Cricetulus griseus: one gene and its partners. The protein of the gene in region 1 interacts with the protein of each later gene in a pairwise test. Links are inferred from orthologs where the notes say so. Each region holds a gene or a part of one and is shown on either strand. Other genes may lie near its edges. The genes, in order: Hnrnpf, Hnrnpm and Hnrnpul1.

Evidence for each region.
Region 2: the proteins of Hnrnpf (region 1) and Hnrnpm interact in binary tests that used the Homo sapiens proteins (3 or more experiments, as listed by UniProt). The two-hybrid records come from large-scale screens. The link is inferred for Cricetulus griseus from reciprocal best matches to the Homo sapiens genes HNRNPF and HNRNPM.
Region 3: the proteins of Hnrnpf (region 1) and Hnrnpul1 interact in a two-hybrid assay, tested with the Homo sapiens proteins (3 studies listed by BioGRID and IntAct). The link is inferred for Cricetulus griseus from reciprocal best matches to the Homo sapiens genes HNRNPF and HNRNPUL1.

The regions. Positions count from the first base shown.
Region 1 is NC_048601.1:27,021,458-27,025,823, forward strand, and holds the start of Hnrnpf (heterogeneous nuclear ribonucleoprotein F), read right to left. Parts: upstream 2,837-4,366; 5' UTR 2,688-2,836; intron 2,455-2,687; exon of another isoform or gene 2,316-2,454; intron 1,719-2,315; exon of another isoform or gene 1,586-1,718; intron 1-1,585.
Region 2 is NC_048598.1:95,317,845-95,321,159, reverse strand, and holds the end of Hnrnpm (heterogeneous nuclear ribonucleoprotein M), read right to left. Parts: intron 3,214-3,315; coding exon 3,162-3,213; intron 1,023-3,161; coding exon of another isoform or gene 1,009-1,022; exon of another isoform or gene 937-1,008; coding exon 773-936; 3' UTR 514-772; downstream 1-513. UniProt on the Homo sapiens protein: Pre-mRNA binding protein in vivo, binds avidly to poly(G) and poly(U) RNA homopolymers in vitro. Involved in splicing.
Region 3 is NC_048602.1:9,365,277-9,369,527, reverse strand, and holds the start of Hnrnpul1 (heterogeneous nuclear ribonucleoprotein U-like protein 1), read right to left. Parts: upstream 2,823-4,251; 5' UTR 2,687-2,822; coding exon 2,320-2,686; intron 1-2,319.

The DNA of each region.
Region 1 (4,366 bases):
TCCCACCACCCAAAAGACATACCACCAAAAAAATAAAAACTTTCTACTTCTATGGAGATGGTGGTACATGGGAAGCAGAGGCCAGTCTGGTCTCCAGATTGAGAGCCAGGATAGCCGCAAAAGCTACACAGAGAAACCCTGTTTCGAAATACCAAAAAAAAAAAAAACCCAAACAAACAAAAAACTATGTATACAACACAATAAACTAAGTATCCCTCATTACCAATCTCTCAACTTTCTCTGGAAATATAAACCTTCCACTTTAAAACGAAAATATTGTCAAAAATTAGCACCAAAACTACTACTTCACTGACCTATTTTTGTCTACCCAAAAAGCCTGAAATATTTCTATTTTTACTAAAAATTCATAAGCATTAACTCTTAAAAAGTACTTGGAGATCGTTAACTGTGTAAAGACTTATTGCGGGAGCCGGGTGTTGGTGGCGCACGCCTTTAATCCCACCACTCGGGAGGCAGGTGGATCTCTGTGAGTTCAAGATCAGCAGCCTGGTCTACAAGAGTTAGTTCCAGGACAGCTTCCAAAAGCCACAGAGAAACCCTGTCTTGAAAAACAAAAACAAAAAAAAATAGAAAAGAAGTTTTTTATTGCCGGGAGGGACCTGAGCTCAAAAATCTCTGAACACAATATGGAAGGCCTGGCCCCATATGTCCCTGACCTCTACTCGGCAGCACAAAGGAAACTTCTCTCTAAAATAGTAACTATTACAAGACATCTTATGATTTGATCAATTAAATGATTTTTAATTATTTCAAAACTCTCCGGTATCGACCGGCATGGTGACGCACTTCTTTAATCCCAACACTCCAGGCAAAACATCTCTGTGAGTTCGAGGTCAGCCTGGTCTACAAGTGAGCTCCAGGATAGCCAGGACTACACAGGAGCCGTCTGGAAAAAACAGCAAAATAAAACAAAACCCACACTTGATAGGAACTCGAGCTGCCAAGCACATGACCTCAGTTCGATCCCCGAGACCCACACTCCTGGAAGAGCCATCTCTCAAGGTGTCGTCTTACATCTAACCCCCTCCCCCACTCACACACAAATCCGCAAACAAAAAGAAAAGCTATAAAGAAGCCCTCTCGGTTCTTCGAAGTTCCGGCAGTCAAAGACACACTGGAGCCTAATCCCGCACAGCCGCATGGCGGCCTCCCACGCTGCGCGCTCGCCCAACCACTCTGGAGCCCCAGTCACAGGCCACAGGTCTCCAGCACTTGTGGCAGGTAGGAGAGGCCCATTCGTTTGTGCCCCGGGACTCCGGGGCAGGAAAAGTCGCGTCGGGCGCTCAAAGTTATGGAGCACGTGGGGCTGCCTCGCGGGTACGCGCAGGGCGGCTGGGGCCAGCGTCCGGCCCTGTCGGGAACGCTCCCGAGAGCGCGCGCGCGCCAGGGAGGGAAGGAAGGCCGGAAAGACCCACACCAAGTTTCACCGGAACCGTAAAGATCCACAAACACATCCAAAGAAAGTTCACGGAACAGCAGCAAACACCCGACCGACCTCCCTAGGTCAAGATCCCTCCTCCTCCTCCACCACCGCCAGCACCACCCGCAAACGCCAGCACGCTACCTCCGAAGGGCCCGGATCCACACAGACTGGGGAATGAGAGACTCCCGGGTCGCCACGAGGAGGAAGAGGCGGTCGGCTCGCTCGGGGCAGGAGTGGGAGGAGGGCGGAGTCGTCGTCCCTCCGCCCAGTCTTGTGAAACTCTGGCCGCCTCCAACCACGTGAGCGGCCGCTTTCCTTTTTCAAAACTGCAACCAGCGCCCGCCCGGGCCTACCCGCGGAGGGCAGAGCGTGTTCCGCCGCGGGGGGTAAACGCTCCGCCCTGCCCCCCCCCAAACAACCCGCGTCGGCCGAGCCGCGTGCGAGCAGCGCCGGCGGGCATGGCCCTCGGCGGAAGCCGCTCTCCAGGGCGTGGGCCTCGGATGCGGGGGGGGGGGGGGCGAGCCCCACACCTCGGTCCCCGCGGCCGGACCTCAGCCTACCAGAGTGACTCCAGACTTCGGATCCCGCGTCCGTCCCCTTCCCCCCGACCCCCTCCGCCAGGCCGCAAACCTCAGCCACGCGGCCGGCCCGGTCCGAAGTGCTCCCAACTTGGACCGCCAGACATACTCTCAACTTCGGCTCTGGACCCCGACCCCACGCCTCGCCTCCGCCGTCCCGAGCCCCGACGGCCAGCCTCGCACCGCCACGGGTGTGCGGCTCCCCCCTCGGACCGGTCCTCTCCTATGGCCGAGCCCCACGGCCCGACGCCCCAAGGGCCCGGCCGCCAGCCCACCCGGTTGGCGACCCTCACCTCGGGCTCCTTGTCTCCACGCTCCCTCTCACATCCGGAACCTCGCCGGCCCTCAGAGCACCTAGAGGAGGGTGGAACCCCGGGGACTTGGCAGTTGTAGCTGAGGCAGTTGAGGCTTGTTTACTGTCACCATGGAAACCCCCAGAAGCGCGCTCGCGGTGGGGCCTCCGCGGAGCGACTCAGCCGCGCGGGCCGGCCTGGTCCTCAACTCCCGCCCGTCGAGCGCCCGCCGCGCTTCCGGGAGCCCTCCTGGCCCCTGGCCCGTTCCCCGCTCGACCCACGCCCCGAGCACCCGGAAACAGTAGCCCGGGAAGCCCACTTTCCCTTCCCACAGCCGGCGTGACCGCGGGCCGGCCTTCCCCCGAACCCCACCTTCAGGAAGACGAGGCGCAGTCCTCCTTCCACGACGAAGCCGGAAGGATACAAGACCGTGGCGGGGCGGAGCCTCAGGCAGCGGACATCCGGGCACCGGGCCGCCACGGCGCCATTCTGACGAGCCCAAGTCCGAGCTCAGGATTGGCCAGCCAGGCGAGGGGCGGGGCCGGGGAATGTGGGCCGGCCTCTGAATGCAGGAAAGGACAGCGACGGCGCATGCGCACACCTCGGGGGAGCCAAGCGGCGGAGGGGGAGGAGGGGGAGGGGGGAGGGAAGGGAGGGGGCGGGCGAAGAGGGGAGCAAGGTGGAGGGTGGTCCATGGAGAGCCTCACGACTTGTGGGCTGTGGGAGGACGCCGGGTGGTGCACGCGCGTTTCCGCACCCGGAAACTTGAGCCCCAAAGGTTCAATAACCGCGCGCGAGCGGAAAACTAGCGTCGAGTCTTACGTAAAAAGAAAGAGCGCCTAAGGGCGTCTCCGAGGCTCCGTCTTGAGGGATTTGTACCAAGTTGCTCCAAGCCCCCAGCGTCAGGGTTTTGAGTTTCAGACTGTCAGCACTTCCCGGAGTGGAGGGGTTAGATTTTTTCGATGTATATATAATTTGCGAGGCTTCTTCGTGAGATGTCAAGATACAGGCTGAGTTTAAGATTACCAACACCACAGAGCCTCCTAGGCGGGCGTGGAGACGCGCGCTGGTGATCTCTGCAGGGAGCGGGTCCAGGCTGCATGGTTGCCAGCCGCTGTCTAAACAATGGAGAAATTCACAAAGTAGTCTCCGGTTATAAGCGGACGATAGCGATGAAGGAAAAGTTCATAAAAACAACACACCAGGCTGACTCAAAAAAAAAAAAATAACAGGAGAAAACTAACTTTCAGAGGAGAAACTGTCTCCAAGAATAAAAAGAGAGGCCAAATGATAGAAAACAAATCCTACAAAAGTTAAATACGTATTCATGTGTATATTGAACATTAAGTCCAGTTACTCAGCACAAGTTTTACCAAACTGTGCACCACTTTGTACTGGGGAGGGAGAGCGTTAGGATCTCTCTCTCTCTCTCTCTCTCTCTCTCTCTCTCTCTCTCTCTCTTTATTGTTGTTTTTGTTTTGTTTTTTGAGGCAGGATTTCTCTGTGTAGCTTTGAAGCCTGTCATGGAACCCGCTCTGTAGACCAGGCTGGCCTTGCCTCTCTGCCCCTCTACCCCTCTACCCCTCTGCCCCTCTGCCTCTGCTGGGATTAAAGGTTTAAAGGAGTGCTCGACCACCACCCAGTGAGTTAAGATTCTTAGTGTGCTCAGTGTGGAGGAGTCAGAATGTATCACCTTGCTGGTTTGGAAGTCAGAGGTCAATTCTGGGGCATCTATCTCTCCAATTATATGGGTGAGGTCCTGGATTAAACTCGGGTTGGCAGGCTAATGCAGCAAGTGCCTTTAACTGCTAAGACATCGCACACTGACTTTCGGGGTTTGTTATTGATTTTTAAAGTTTATACTATTGGTTGAGGCAGGTGCAAGTGCCTTCCAACCTTACGGAGGCCAGAGGGCAACTTTTCCTGTGTTGGTTTTTTTATTTACCTTTATGTGAGCTCCAGGGATCGAATTTAGGTTATCAGACTTTCACAGCCAGAGATTTCATTTGCTAACTCTCTCTCCTGTCCAAGCTGTCCTCCAAATCCTAAGC
Region 2 (3,315 bases), on another chromosome or scaffold:
AAAATCAGTTGCTTGCTCAATAGGAAAGGAGCTACTAAGGATGCACCCACACACACCCTGGATGATCAGGAACTGCATCCCAAAACTCCTTGTAGGCTGCAAGGATTTGTATTGCCAAGTGAGTCTATGACAGCCCTTCATTGGTAGGGTTCCTGCCCAACAGGACATCAGTATGAAGCATGTCCCATACAGTGATATTCTCAGGGGGCTTAAACAAAGAAAAGCCACATGAAGTGAGCTTTGCTCAGTGTCTGGGACTCACAGAATATAGCCACAGGATGACTTTCAGGATTGCTATTAGCACTCTTGGGAAAAATGAAGATTTAGGATCTGTACTATAGTGTTTCTACTATAACCAGGGTCTGCTCTCCAAACACTGGGGCTCACAGACAAGCAACAATAGGGTGAGATCCCTGGAGGTCACAGCTCTGAGGAAGGAAGAATTACAAGCTTCCCCAGCTCCACAGACCTCAGATGGCCACCTCTACAACATACGCAAAAAAAGCAAGCAACTTTCAGCAACTGGTATTTATTATCAAAGTCATATTCGATGTCAACAAGATGCCACAACTACAAAAAAAATTGCGCACATTGCAATCTCAATGCAAACAATCAAATGGAACCCCACTCATTAAAAAATTAATTCAAATTACCCCAAAAAGCAACTGAATTTTTTAAACATCTTTATACATCCAGCCAACAAATTAAAATGGTTAACAAGAAAAAATACAAATTCAGAGGTCTGGTATTGATGTTTAAAAAAGGCAACTGCTTAAGCATTTCTATCGATTCGAACATCAATCTCTCGGCCACTCAGCTTCATGCCATTCATCATCCGGCAGGCTCTCTCAGCCACCTCTGGAGACTCAAATTTAACCACACCGCACCCCTTGGACTTTCCGTTCTCCATCTTGATGTCGGCGTACAGCACGTGGCCTGGCACAGGGAGGGAAGAAGAGACCACACGCATCAGGCAAACCCAGAGCTCAGCCTCAGCCTGGGCTCCACTCAGTCCAGATCACCTGTTGGATTTCGGTGACAGAGTCAAAAAGGAGAGAGGCCCTTGCATATGAAGTGAATGCTCAGAACACCACGTATGGCGCCAGCAACTACAGCCCCCCCCCACTATATTGCCATTGTTCTCCAAGCAGGACAACAGCCTGACCTGCTGTCAAGAACCTGCCAAGCAGCTTCAAGAGTTTGCCTTTATGCTCCAGCAAGTGACACAGAGAGGGGACTATGTGGAGTCAACTTTAGATTAGAATTCTAGAGGCTTGATTGTTGAATACCACAATCTGGTCACAAGGTCACTGCCAATATGATACTTCTATACTGCCCCAATGTAAGCCAGGTATACTTAGTGAGCAGCTTACATATATCCCATTCATAGACCTATTAAGCACCCACGTTATTAAGTACCCAGGTATGTGTCAAGTACAAAAGAAATGGGTCTATAATAGAGTGAGAGCCAAAGACACATTAGTGGTGTCAGGTCCCATAATTCTGTGCTACTAATGGCTTGGGGAGAGATGACACTCCAGTGGCTTCTGGTGATAAAATTCTGAAAGATATTAAGTAGCAATTCATCAGAATAAACATTCCTGCCAGAGCAGGACGCAATGGTACACATCTGCAACCCAGCACTTGGGAGGCTAAAGCAAGATTTCAAGTTTTAGGCCAGACTGGAGCTACATGGCAAGACCCAGGCTCAAAAGAAGGGAATGACAAGACAGAACCAAAGGAGGGACAACAGACAGGAGAATGGAAAGATGGCTCACCTGTAATCCCAGCCCTTGGGAGGTGAAGATAGGAAATCAAGAGTTCAGTGTCACTGAGGATATAGCTCAGTGGATACAGTGCTTGCCCAGCATACACAAAACCCTGGGTTTGAGCCCAGCACTTTACAAACCAGGCATGGTAGCACACCTCTGTAATCCCAGCATTCAGGAGTTAGAAAAAGGACTAAAAGTTCAAGGTTATTTTCAGTTATATAATAGTGAGTTTAAGGGCCAGTCTGAGACCCCATCTCAAAAAAAAAGAAAAAAAGAAAAAAAGAAAAAAGAAAATCCAACAAACAAACCACCACCCACAACAAAAAAATCCCTAAGAGTTCAAGATAATCCTTGGCTATACAATGAATGTGCAGCAAAATGGAGCTAGCTGGATCTTATCTCAAAAAGAAAAAGAGAAGGGAAAGGGGAAGGTAATTTGGCAGGAAAGCAGAGAATGTCACAGGTTCAAGGGCAGTAGGGAGATGGAACCAAGTTTCCAGAAGCTTTTGAGTTTGCATTTTCACATAGGTGGGGAGAGTGGCATGTTCTAATATGAGTTTTTGGAATATCTAGTTACAATAGTGACTGGTGTGAAATTTGCAATGGAGAGAATCAAAGAACCAGGCAAGAAGATGGGTTTTCACTCTACAGCTTGCCTCAAAGAACCAGGGGAAAGCACCAAAAACACTAAAATGTGAGCCATTTCTGAATGACGAAACAGGTGTTTTGATCGAGCAGCCACCCAGATTTTGGTGAAATGGTAGCAGGTGACAACTGCATCTCGGTCACCAAGGAAGCTTTCCAGAAAGGCTGCCTAGTGTGCCTATGAATCCACAATCAGTGATTTTCACCCCACTATGTGTGCCCAGACCTACAACTGCTGAGCATATGAGTGCTCTGGGAAACCAAACCAGGTATGGGCTTCATGTGGAAAAGCAACTTGTCTCATTTATTTCTTTTGTTTTTGCCTCTTATTTAGGAAGGTGGCTTTGCTAACTCTTATGTAAAGAGACGACAACATTGTCTCCTCTCAGAAACACTTCAGAAAACAGGAACGGTGGCATTTGCCTGGCGTTCCAAAACATGGAAGGTAGCAAAAGAATCATGAACTCAAATCCAGCTTAGGTTATAACAGAGACAGAGAGACTGTCTCAAAAAACTAAAAAAGAACAGCAAGGATGAAAGCAGCACATAGCACGACACATACCTGGACACCCAACACCTGCCTGAGTACCTGCAGAGGCAGAACAATGGCAAGGCCCATCGGTGCTCTAGAGCCCATGGACAGTGGTTAAGGCTAGGAAAGAAGCTTCACTGCTCTAACTCAACAGCGTCATCAACAAGCCACGACACAGGAATGTACACAGAGAGCCTTTCTCAGACACTTACCACATTCGTTGAATTTGTCCTTTAGCATCTTCCATGTAAAATCAAATGGGAGCTGAGGAAAAAAGAGGAAGACTGATCTGTGATGCAACCAAGTCTCAATGTAAAGACATCACAATAGATACAAGAATATGACTTGAAGGCTTTCTTGGGCTGA
Region 3 (4,251 bases), on another chromosome or scaffold:
TGACATGACAGGGGACGCAGTATCTCCTTAATTGGAACACAAGGTTTCTTCAAACCATTATGCTTCCTCCAGAGCCTTAGGACAGTATTCTCCCCAGAAAGCCCGTGTTCTTTCCCCCAACAGTGGCAGGCTGGCCTAGGGAAGCTATGATGCTGGGGTCCTTTCCCACTCTCTACAACATCCCCCCAACAACAGGCAACCCTGGTGTGGGGAACCCTCTCACATACCATCTCATGACAACTCAGGGAGGACTCTTACCAGTCCCATATATAGGGAGACCCAGGCTCAGAGGGGAAATGATTTGCTTAACTCCAAAAGTCTGCCTGAGTCTACAGTTTGTGCTCTGAAGCATCAACTCATTTTCCCAAGACCCTTCTGGCAGAAGCAAGGTTAGGGCTGCACACTGGCTGCTCCTTCATAAGCCATTCTTGCAGGGTTCCCCAGCTCTGGGCACATTCACAAGCCACTCCCCCCTTCTTCCCAGGGAGCTGACCACTTGCCACACATGTGTTAGCCCTAGACCACTCTTCTTTCCCCAGGGTGTCTCCTCCATAGGATCCCACCTCTCAGGAACAAGTGAGTACTAGTCTCTCTCAAGGGCCCATTTTCTCTCTCAGTGTTTCATCCCAAGTCCCGCAGTGTCTTCTTCTCAGAGAAATACTCCAAGCCTCGGATGCCAAGGTGTTTCGTTCCAGGTTCCCTCTCATACCAGGGTCTCCTTTACTCAAGGGACTGCAGTTCCCCTCCAATCCTATCTTACAGACACACTTCCTGGTTGATCAAACTCCCCCAGGCCCCTTGAGCACACAAGTAACTATTTCTGGGGACTCAGGAGCCCTCTCTCGGAAAGGAATACTCCCTGAGGCCTCCAGCCAAATCAACAGGTTTCCTTTCTTCTCCAAATCCTCCACGCGTCCCTCCCCCACATCTGCTAGCTGCAGACTCCCTGTGGGACACAAAGGTCCTCTGCCCACCACACAGTTCATCCACTTGCTACCAACTTATTCTCCCCAACTCCAGCTATCCGAGTTTCGAAAACTATCCATAGCTAACAATACAAGGCCATTCAGCAGGAGCCACCCGGTGTTTCTTAGGAGCCTTCCCAATTCTAGACTAGTCCCTAGCTCTTTTGTCCATTAAAAACATCCTGTTTTTCCTCGCCACTGTTTATAGACACCAACGTTCTCGTGCCTCTTCTAGAAAGCCACAAGCTAAGATCTCCCAGTACCAAATATTCCTAGCTGCCCTGTCCTCAAGGTTGGCCCTGTAACTGAAATGCAGGACTTGGGGGGGAAGGGAGGGGACGCCAAACCCAATCTTCCGCTGGTTTTCCATTATCTCCCCCTAAAAGCTCACCTGCCAAACATCGGAGCGCCCAGCCCACCTCCCTCGGCCTCGGCCACCCGCAGCTCCACGGCACCAACTCACCCACAGCACCAAGCACACCTCCCGGATCCCATCCGGCCGCAAGATCGGAGATCCTCTAGCCTCAAATACTCTCCCTCAGCCCTGCACCGTTGACCATTCTTCACCCCCCGCCCTCCCTGATACCTGGAAATCCGGCTTTTTGAGACCCAGCCCAAACGGGGTGTGTGTGCGTGGAGGGGGGAACACGACCCGCACGGCCACCCAAGCTGTCAGCTCAAAGCCCCCAGCGAGCATCACCATTTTTCCAAAAGCCCTCCCGGAGACACCCCTTTCCCTGAAAGCTCCTTCCGACTCTCCAGCTCCAAAAGGGAAAGAGGAAAAGAAAAAGAAAGAGAAACAGTTTCCGGCCTCCCAGTTCTAGGATGTGCATTCCTCCCCACCCACCCTCCCTCTCGCTAGTCTTCTTCTTAAAAACACTCGGGAGGCAGAGGCAGGCGGATCTCTGGGAGTTCGAGGCCAGCCTGGTCTACAAGAGAGCGAGTTCCAGGGCAGCCTCCAAAGCCACACAGAGAGAAACCCTCGTCTCGGAAAAACCAAAATAAATAAATAAATAACTAAATCGGACAAAATAAAGAAACCCCGCCGGCTCTACCCCCCCTCACCCCACGCCACCCCGCCCAGGCCCAGGGTTGTTCCCTTGCACCCAAGGCCCTCCCTGCAGGATCCGCCCTGGGGCTGCTCGCCCTGGGGCTGGCTCGCCCTGGGGCTGGCGGCCCTGTCCACCGATGCTCGGCAGCCGCAGCGGCAGGTGGCGGGGGGTCCCGGGCTCCCCCGCCAGGGACCGTGTCCGGGGTCCCCCGGGGTGTCGATGGAGAGGAGTGGACTTCCCGCGTCCCCCGGTTCTCCCCCCCTCCCCCCGGTCCCCCGGTGTCCCCCCCAGGCCCCGCGCACTCTCACAGTGTCCGTCCGGCCCCGGGTAGCCGCCGGGCTCCGGGTGCGGGTGCGGGTGCGGCTGCAGCCCGGGCGGCGGTGGCGGCGCGGTCCCCTCCAGCTCCGAGCCCCCCTCGGTGTCGACCTCGTCGTCGTGGCGGCGCTCGGGTAACCCCGGCTCGCCGTCGCCCCCGTGGCGGCCGCCGCCGTCGCCGTCGCCGTCGTCGCCGTCGCCGCCGTCAGCGTCGAGCTCCCGCTCTTCGGGCTCCTCGGCCTCCAACGCCGCCAGCAGGCGCTCGGCAAGCTCGGCCTTGAGGCCGCGAGTGTCCAGGCCGCGGCGCTGCAGCTCCTCGCGAAGTTCGTTCACCTTCAGACGGCGCACATCCATGGCCCGGGCCCCCGGGGCGGCCCCCGAGCCCGGCCCGGCCTCCCGGGGCTCTGTCCCCCCTCAAACCTCGCCCGTCAGGAGGCGAAGGGGGAACGGGGGGGGCCCCTCCAATGGCGGCGGCGGCTCAAAATGGCCGCCGCCGCCGCCTCCTCCCCCCCTGGCCCCGGAGCCCGACGATGTAACGCGGGCGTCGATTGGGCAGCGTGCGGGGCAACGGGCGCGGGCCCCGGAGGCTCCGCCAATCACAGCGCGGCTCTCACCGCGACGGCACTCGAGAGGGTTCAGGGCGCTCTGCCCAAGAGGAAGCGTTAGCCTACGTCGGAGTCGCGGCCCCAAGCGGAGGGCGGGAAAAGGCAAGGGGCGGGGCCGGCGCTGATTGGACGGCGCCCCGCGCCCCCCCCCGCCCCGCGACCCCCGCGCGCGCGCGCGCGCAGCGGGTACGGTCAAATGGTGGCAGATAAGGGAGTAACGATCCCGAGCAATCAGCAACGGGGTCTCAGCGTCGCCTCCCCGCCCCGTCCCTCCCGGCAGCCTCTCCCGCTCTCGGACTCTCCGTAAAGCGCGTGCTGACTGGTCCGCAGCTCCCGCCCCTCGCGCGGGGCGGGGGGGCGGGGGAAAAAGATCGCCGCGGCCAATCAAACGCGGCGACCGAGGGGCCCCGCCCACCCTCGTCTTTCCTGTGGCCCTTTCGGAAGCCCGGAAGGAGACCCACTCGCGGAGGGCCCGCCCCTTGCCGTTAGGGCGGTTTCAAAACAAGCTGTCCACCAATCGCAGTTACGGTTACATTTCCGCTCCCCTCTCCGCCCGCCCGCCCCGCAGCCGTAGCTTGAGCGCTTTGAGGAAAAGCTAACGGGATTGGCCCTGCTGGAAGAGGCTTGCCTTGCAAACTTGGCCGTCTTGCGGGGATGTTTGAGAGGCGGGATCGGGCTTAAGGGGAGCTGCTTCTGCTCGCCTGCTACTCAAGCCCAGTTGCTGGCTCGCTTGCTTTTTGTTTTTTTTTTTTTTAACGAGGAACAAACAAACAAACAAACAGTTGGCCCTGGGGAGCGCTGAAGGGTTGCAAGCGGGGGTTGGGCTAAACCCACGGGGGAGAAGCTGCTTGGCAAACGGCGCACCGCTCTAGAGTTTGCTCGCTCGCCCGCCCAGGCCGCCCTGCACGCGACCGCCGCAGCCGCAGAAAGAAGTCCGGGGCTCTCCATCTCGAGCCCTGCAGCTTGCCTGCCTATGCCAACCATCGCCAACACGAGGGATCCGTAACTGTGCCTCGCGTTAACCCTTAGCACGCCCGTCGCCCCTAGCTCGGGAGGCGAAAAAAAAAAAAAAAGATTTAGTGCAATAACACCATAAAAAAGATTTAGTGCAATACCACCATAAAAAAATAGTGCAATACCACCATAAAAAAGATTTAGTGCAATACCACCATAAAAAAAAGATTTAGTGCAATACCACCATAAAAAAATTTAGTGCAATACCACCATAAAAAAAAAAAAGATTTAGTGCAATACCACCATCCGGTTTTGCACAATGCAAAACGTCCGCTGCCAGCCAGCCAACCCCCCTAGCCT